Nothobranchius furzeri: one gene and its partner. The protein of the gene in region 1 purifies or fractionates together with the protein of each later gene. This does not show direct contact. Links are inferred from orthologs where the notes say so. Each region holds a gene or a part of one and is shown in the gene's direction. Other genes may lie near its edges.

Region 1 (3,820 bases):
TATTTCTTTTAACCCTTTAGAACCCAACCATAATGAATTAGAAAACCGATTTGAATAAATACATCAGAATGTAAAAAATTATTTAATAAAATAAAGAAGTAGAATAATTTTCAATATATGTATGGATAGAATGTCAGTTAGGTTTTCAAACTTGAATAATTGACTCAAGAAGCAATTCTGCAGGTGTTTGAAATCAGTTGTGTCACCACGGGTCCTTAAGGGTTAACATTACTTCAGTTTTGGTGTGTTTTTAAAACATCACATATGATTCCTTTTGTACGGCGAATAGGAAAGCAGCTTCCACCATTGCCAAGTACCCCAACAAGATTAAGAGTGGAGAAGAGGCCAAGAAACTGGTTGGTGATTTTTAGTTTTGTACACTTGCTGCATTTGTTAAGAAGTCACCGTTGTTTAATGTATTAACATACATGAAAAGTTGAAGAAAATCACTAATTTTCTTCAACTTTTCACAATTTTACAGGATGGAGTTGGAGCCAAAATAGCAGAAAAGATTGATGAGTTTCTTCAAACTGGCAAGTTAAGGAAACTTGAAAAGGTAAGTTTGGATATTTGCATAATGGATATAAGAGCAAACAACCAAATGTGTTTGGATTCAAACGCATCACACTGACTGATGTTTGCTACTTTAATATTTTCTACCAGATCCGAAACGATGACACCAGCTCTTCCATCAATTTCCTTACCAGAGTAACTGGAATTGGGTATTGTATTGTTATTGTGACTATTATTACAGTTAAAAAGTGTCGGGGGATGTTTACAATTAAATACACAATCACCACATCACTTGGTTTTCTGTCCACAGCCCGGCTGCCGCAAGGAAGTTCTTCGAGGAAGGGGTTAAGACTTTAGATGGTTTGTGAAACAAATTCCCCTAAAACAGTTTCTTGTTTAATTTCATTTCACATCCAATGACTCTGAGACTCTGATCTCCATTGTTTCCCATGAAGTTGTTGTGTACAAATTTGGTTTTATTTATATATTGATTCTCATGATACTCATGGTTTTTATTTTCAGATTTGAAAAAGGTAGAGCACAAGCTAAATCATCATCAAAAGATTGGGCTCAAGTAAGCTCAGCCAAAATACGCTCATCCCCCAGCACCACCACTTTCCTTCATTTTCTGTTATTATTTGATGGTTTTAAAAGTATTTTTAACATAATAAATGTGCTGGTGTTTTCTTTGGTACTTAGGTACTTTGAAGAATTTGAAAAAAGAATCCCACGAGCTGAAATGGAGAAGATGGAGGTGATTTTGAATATTTCTACTAAGGCTTTTATGCCTAGTTCTCTTACACTGATCCTGTGTTTTTGTTTAGACTCTTATTCTTGGAGAGTTGACAGAAATCGATACAGAATACATCGGAACAATTTGTGGAAGCTACAGGAGAGGTAACCCAAGTAGAAAATAATTAGTTTTTAATTTAAGGTTTTAGTTGAGCTTTTTAATTAAGGTGAATAATTTCCAGGTGCAGCATCGAGTGGTGATATTGATATTTTATTGACCCACCCAAAGTACACTTCTCAAACCGAGAAGCAGGTCAGACCACCGTTTATTCTGTGGCTCATTGTTTTCTAAAGTAAATGCAGCTTTCTCTCATTTAAGCGTTTCTCATTTTCCAGCCCAAACTCCTTCATGCTGTGGTTGAGCATTTGGAGTCTGTCGGCTTCGTCACCGACACTTTGTCCAAAGGAGACACCAAGTTCATGGTGAGGCCTGTTTTGTTCTCAGCTGAGGAAACACACCAACCCTCCGTTGTACATGACCCTTTTCTTAATGTCCTGGATCTAGTGGTTTTTTCCCCTTTTCTCTAGGGCGTCTGTCAGCTGCAGCCTAGTGATGATGATGAGGAAGAATATCTTCACAGGCGTATTGATATAAGGTTAATATGGAAGTCTTACAGATTTTAATACATTAGGTTGCTTCAAAATAACGATTGAGTAATTCTGTCTTTATTCAAATAGTTTTTTTCTTGCTAGTTATTGATTTTCATTTCATTTCAAAAGGTTGATTCCCAAGGACCAATACTACTGTGGAGTTCTGTATTTTACTGGAAGTGACATCTTTAACAAAAATATGAGGACTCATGCCCTGGAGAAGGGCTTCACTCTTAATGAGTACACCATAAGACCACTTGGTGTCACTGGTGAGTCGAACAAAGCTAGATACACTCAGAACTTTGTTCAAGTTCTCAATAACCAGACATCATATAGACAGACACCCTGTGGACTTGTGCTGCCGTGGCAGGCTGCCATCTTGGATGGGTCTCCATTCACCCCCAGTGCATTTATTTCTACTGTTTAATGTATTTACGCAAATAAAAATACTTTTATTATGCTTTTTCACAAAGTCAGACATATGGTATGGCATGATAGTTAAATATCTTTTTTGCACATTATAAAAACTATACAATAATTTAACTATACACTTAATATAAATATAAATACACACTACAGTACTGGGTGACAGAAACAGACAGGCAAATTGATGATATTTCAGTGCAGCTTATTTATTGTGCAAGTTTGAGTTAATTATGGTGATAGCTTTAGGAAAGAAGCTATCCCTGATTCCATTTGTTCTGGCCTGTATGGATCCGAAGCACCTGCCAGAGGACAGTAGGTTGAAAAGATGGTAGTTTTTAGCTGACCAGGAGAGGTCTGCAGAGATATGGATGCCAATACACTTCGAAGACTCCATTTGGTCCACAGATTGTCCATTGATGTGCAGGGGGGCAGGGGTCATTCTGTTCCGCCTGAGTTCCTTGGCCTTCCCAACGTTATGTTCCAGGTTGTTTAAAAATAATTACATAAAATAAACATAAAACATCTCAAATGTAAAATCCCAAAAGATAGGCTAGAAAAGTCCCACGTGATCTGTTTTCAATAGTGCGTTGGTTGATGCAACCATAAGCTGTACAAAATAAAGGCGTAGTTGCTCACTCTTCATTGACTCTTGGGTTTAGAGAATGGGGAACCCATCCAATGTGGTGGTGACACCGTTACACTCTCCAACGCCCAATGAGGTGTCTGTCTTTGTCTACATTATTTACAGCAGTTCATTCTTGTATCTTTTAATCTGTTGTAGGAGTGGCTGGGGAGCCTCTGCTGGTGGATAGTGAGAAAGACATCTTTGACTACATCCAGTACAAATACAGAGAGCCGAAGGATCGCAGCGAGTAAAACAATGCTACAGCTGTCCTGCAAACAAGATTTTACTAGAAACAAGTGTTATGCTTTTGCCATACCTTCATGACGCTGAGAAGAAAGTAACTGTGAAAATGTTTTTAATGATTTGTGTTGAAATATTCCTACCTAAATTGAAATGGTCATCACTCTTGTGAAAAAAACGCTGTATTTATATGTTGACTTTACACACAAACATCCTTGTGAACATAACTTCAACTTGTTTTTTATCATGTAAACAATAATTTATTTGACCTTATTTTTATTAGTTTTTATTGTTACAAAAAAACAAAATGTCTAGATAAGTCATTTTTTAACTGGAATGACCTATTGCATGTAATGTATGTGCTGAGACTCGTGTTTTTCTTGACGATGGTGCTCTTGAATACAGCTTACTTGTACTTTTATTTCTTATTTGGCTAAGTAGACAAAGGGGAAAGTGGTAGTAGACGTTATCATGCCAATATTGTGCTTGCTTATCTGTTTGGGGGAAAAATACATGTTCGAATGGGACATAATAGCATTTTGAGTGATGTTTTCAAAAGTAAAATAAGGTGTAAGACTTGAATACAAGATTTGCATTAACTATTTTAGTTTGGGTTTTGAATACTTGCATGAG
Region 2 (4,294 bases), on another chromosome or scaffold:
AAGGTTTGCTAGTTGGATCAAGTCTTGCCAAACTCCTTTTTCCTTCTGATCCATCCTGTCACTATAAAACTAAATGAGTTGAGACCGTCTTGGGTGAAATCATCTATGATTTCTCATCTAAACCTTACTTTGGAAATTAACTATTTATAGCATCATAATATAGGTTAACTTCATCATCTGAAATCTCTGTTTTCAGTTGTTGTTTATGCTATTTTGTCCAGTTAAAGAAAAGCCAACACATTTTCTTGCTTGCTTAGAAAATGTGCTAGCAAGAGGTGAGACCTCTACGCCAAAACACACAATACCTCTTAGAATTTTACTCAGTGGCCTGTAAAGCCCTGGTTGACGTTTTTAGTGAGTTATTTTCCACCAATTTTGTTTACAGTTAAAGATGTTTTTATATTTATTAGTAAGCCCAAAGATTTTTTAGAAATAATTTTACTAATTAATGACTATGTGAAAAATTATTGTAAAGACGAGTAAATGAAAGTCTCCATCAGTGTATTATTATTGTCGTTATTGAACCCAAATTGTTATCTAGGCCCTTATAATCAGGTCATAGTTTTTAAAAATTTTGTTTTCAAAAGACTGAAGTTCATTTGATGAACACATATTGTATTTACATTTTGTATGTTTATTTTTTACATAAACTTTCAATGTGAATTGTGCAAATAAAAATCTTAAAGCAGAACTATTCTTTGGAATTGTTTGTTTGCGCATTAGTTCTCAGTGATCAACTATAAACAAATGCAACTATTGTAAATATATTTATAATTAACATACTTAATAGTTTTGCTTCATGTAGAATTTCATGTTTAGTTTTGTAAAAATCTGATTGATCTGTGCTCCATTAGTTCTGGCTGAAACTCGCGCGGGAATTCTGCGAACCAGTTCACTGATCCTATATTGCTCTTAAGATGCCCCACTTGGTAGAAGAAGAAAAGTTAATGTGTGTAGCGCCTTTCAAGATAAAAATCACAGTGCGTCAGAGATTTAGGTTAGGGCAGAGCTACTCTAGCTCTGGGTTAGAGTGGCCAAATGTTTCTCTCTTTTATGAACCGTTAAGAATAAACAAAGTTGTTATGTGGTTACAGTGTAACAACTCAACCCTGATTTTTTTCGGTACATTAGAGAAAAATACAAACAGGTGGGGACCACACAGAAGTTTAAAATGGCCAAACGAATCATCATAATGTCTCGAATCATAACGTAAACAAACTAAAACGTAATATACCACAAAGTACATTAAAACAAAGTTAAAACTTACGTGGATTGTAAATCGGAGTCAGAGTGAGACCTCGTCTCGTGAGCTTCCTCTCCAAGTAGCACGCGGGCTGCAGCCGCCGCTCTGCCTGTGATTGTTGTGGTGGCTCCGAGAGTGCATCGGAGAAAGTTGCCCTCTTCATCACGTCGCTTTGTTTGCTTGTTTGCAACATTAAGGAACAATGGCGGACTCCCAAGATGACAAGCTCTACAAGGCGGAATACGCGAAAAGCGGCCGGGCTTCGTGCAAGAAATGCAAAGAGAGCATAGCTAAGGACTCGCTGAGGATGGCCCTCATGGTGCAGGTGAGGAGGTAGCGACGTCTGGAGGGATTTAACCAAGGAACCATTCTGTTATGAAGCCTTTTATAACCGTGCTGATATCTAAATCATATGTGCGCATATAGAGAACCATAATAATCAGACTTTAAACTAATCTAGTGTAGTTTATAAAGGAGTTTGAGTTGTGCTAAGTGAGGCCCCCGGTTAGCATTTAAATGGCTGACTGAATGAATCTGGCTCACAAAGAGCCGCCTGGATCGCCTCAGAGGGACTTAGGACAATGTCTGAGACCCATCCAGTGTGCTGCAGAATACAACTGCTCCATCCTCTCCTCCACTCAAGAGACATAGATAAAAAAAATCACACAAGCAGCTGTTCCAGTCTGTGCAATAGAGAAATAATCATGTAAGAGTCAAACTCCTGCTTATTGGTCAGTCTGTGGGTCCAGATCAGCACTCACCCCTGCAAAAGGAAGGAAAATTCATTACCACTTGCACACATTTAAAGTTTCAGCCACAAAATATAGTCTATATAGTATTTCTTTTGTAACGTCTTAATAGTTACAGTAATGCATATTATCAGGTCAGTGGTTCCTTTTTGTTTTTATTGTTGGAAAACCCAACCGTGTGTTGTGTATTTTCTGCAAAATATGTCAATTTTTTTTTAGTTCTGGCTGCATGAAACATTGACATTCTTGTGAATATGTTTATTTGTTATACTTGTTTAAATAAGTAAGTCAGAATTATTATCTGTAGTTTTAAAGACAAAATTGTGAAAACCCTTGTTTACAAATTCATGATTTTATTTTTAACGTGAGTAAAATCTGAATTTTTTTAATGCACAAAAAACGTTTGTCATGTAAAACCAGAAAAATTCCATCCATCCATTTTCATCCGCTTATCCGGAGATGGGTAGTAGCCAGTAGCCGAAGTCAAGAGGCCCAGACTTCCCTCTCCCCAGCCACTTGGGCCAGCTTCTCTGGTGAAATCCCAAGGCGTTCCCTGGCCAGGTGAGAGACATAGTCCCTCCACCGTGTCCGGGGTTTACCTTAAGGGCTCCTCCTGGTTGGACGTGCCCAGAAAACCTCACCAGGCAGGACTGCGGGTTCCCGTCAGCTGCCTCTGGAGTCCCACAGGCCAAAAAGACCTGTTAGGACTCTTTCTTCAGCTTGACGGCATCCCTAACCGCCGGTGTCCACAAGCGGGTTCGGGGGTTGCCACCACGACAGGCACCAACGATCCTGCGACCACAGCTCCGGTCGGCCGCCTCAACAAAAGAGGCACGGAAAAGAGTGCATTCAGACTCGATGTCCCCCGCCTCCCCCGGAACATTTTGGAAGTTCTGTCGGAGGTGGGAATTGAAGCTCCTTCTGACAGGAGACTCTGCCAGACGTTCCCAGCAGACCCTCGCGATACGTTTGGGCCTGCCTGGTCTGACCGGTATCCTCCCCCACCATCTGAGCCAACTCACCACCAGGTAGTTGTCAGTTGCCTGCTCCGCCCCTCTCTTCACCCGAGTGTCCAAGACACGCGGCCGCAGGTCAGACGAAACGACAACAATCCATGACTAGCACAGAAATCCAACAACAAAACAACATTCAAATTCAGAAACCAGAAAAATTCAAACAGAAAAACCTTTATTCTCACTTTAATGGTTTTGTTTTTTTTTTTCATCTTTTTTTTCTGATATTTGCTGTTGCTTCATTGTCTTGTTTTTGTCCTCCAGTCCCCGATGTTCGATGGGAAAGTCCCACACTGGCACCACTTCTCCTGCTTCTGGCAGCGAGCGGCAGCTCAGACTGAAGCAGACATCGCCGGGTTCTCCACTCTTCGCTGGGAGGACCAGCAAAAAGTCAAAAAGGCTATTGAGACTGGAGGAGCTGTCGGAGCAGGTCGGTGGTAGATCTTTAATTATTGTGTTCAGCGCCTTGTTTGGTTGTAATGCCTTGTGAATGCGCTTTATAAATAAAATTGGATTGGATCGTAAGCAAAAGAGCTTAAGATAGCTACTTTCAATTGGTTTAACTTTGTCTTATTAGCCAGATAAAAAAGTGAAGTGATCCATAAAAAGTCAAAAGAGTGCCATTTCTCAAGTTGTTCTAAATGTTTTTAATTTATCATTTACTATTAATGCATATTTTTTTTAAATGTTTAGACTTATTTTCCTTTGCATCTTGCAGGGAAAAGTGATTCAAAAGGTGCCGCTCAAGGGGCCAAAACTCTGAATAACTTTGCCGTGGAGTACGCCAAGTCGAACCGCAGCACGTGCAAAGGCTGCGAGCAAAAAATAGAAAAGGTCCGCAGCACAGGAAATGTCTTAATCAATAACCGTTGAACACGTGTCATAAATACTTCACATGTCTGCCGTATTTTTGCTTCTCTTTCAGGATCAGATTCGTGTTTCCAAGAAAACGGTTGACCCAGAGAAACCTCAGCTGGGTCTGATCGACCGCTGGTACCACACGGCGTGCTTCGTGAGCCGCAGGGAGGAACTGGTGTTTAAGCCCGATTATTCCGCCGCCCAGCTGAAGGGATTCGACGCGCTGCGCGCCGAAGACAAGAACGATCTTAAGAAGAGGCTCCCTGCTGTCAAATCTGAGGGGTGAGATGACAAACGTTTAGTTTAGAGATTTGTTTCCTCAGCGATGTTATTCCTGCTGCTCATCGTCCTGCAGCACAAGAAAATGTCCTTAAACGTGTCCCTGAAAGCCGTCATGGTGTACGCGTATAGGAAGGGGTTGATGGTGGAGT

The links.
Region 2: the proteins of polb (region 1) and parp1 purify together in Homo sapiens (affinity purification with mass spectrometry; 4 studies listed by BioGRID and IntAct, counting the BioPlex papers as one, with this or other methods). This does not show direct contact. The link is inferred for Nothobranchius furzeri from reciprocal best matches to the Homo sapiens genes POLB and PARP1.

The regions. Positions count from the first base shown.
Region 1 is NC_091757.1:55,610,294-55,614,113, reverse strand, and holds part of polb (DNA polymerase beta), read left to right. Parts: intron 1-289; coding exon 290-356; intron 357-436; coding exon 437-556; intron 557-663; coding exon 664-722; intron 723-823; coding exon 824-873; intron 874-1,035; coding exon 1,036-1,087; intron 1,088-1,212; coding exon 1,213-1,267; intron 1,268-1,337; coding exon 1,338-1,410; intron 1,411-1,487; coding exon 1,488-1,558; intron 1,559-1,641; coding exon 1,642-1,728; intron 1,729-1,833; coding exon 1,834-1,901; intron 1,902-2,025; coding exon 2,026-2,165; intron 2,166-3,103; coding exon 3,104-3,198; 3' UTR 3,199-3,820.
Region 2 is NC_091742.1:4,979,624-4,983,917, forward strand, and holds the start of parp1 (poly [ADP-ribose] polymerase 1), read left to right. Parts: upstream 1-1,321; 5' UTR 1,322-1,445; coding exon 1,446-1,568; intron 1,569-3,269; coding exon 3,270-3,435; intron 3,436-3,723; coding exon 3,724-3,839; intron 3,840-3,930; coding exon 3,931-4,145; intron 4,146-4,151; exon of another isoform or gene 4,152-4,166; coding exon of another isoform or gene 4,167-4,294. Other genes in the region: adorb1a (adenosine A2c receptor), read right to left, coding at 4,167-4,294. UniProt on the Homo sapiens protein: Poly-ADP-ribosyltransferase that mediates poly-ADP-ribosylation of proteins and plays a key role in DNA repair.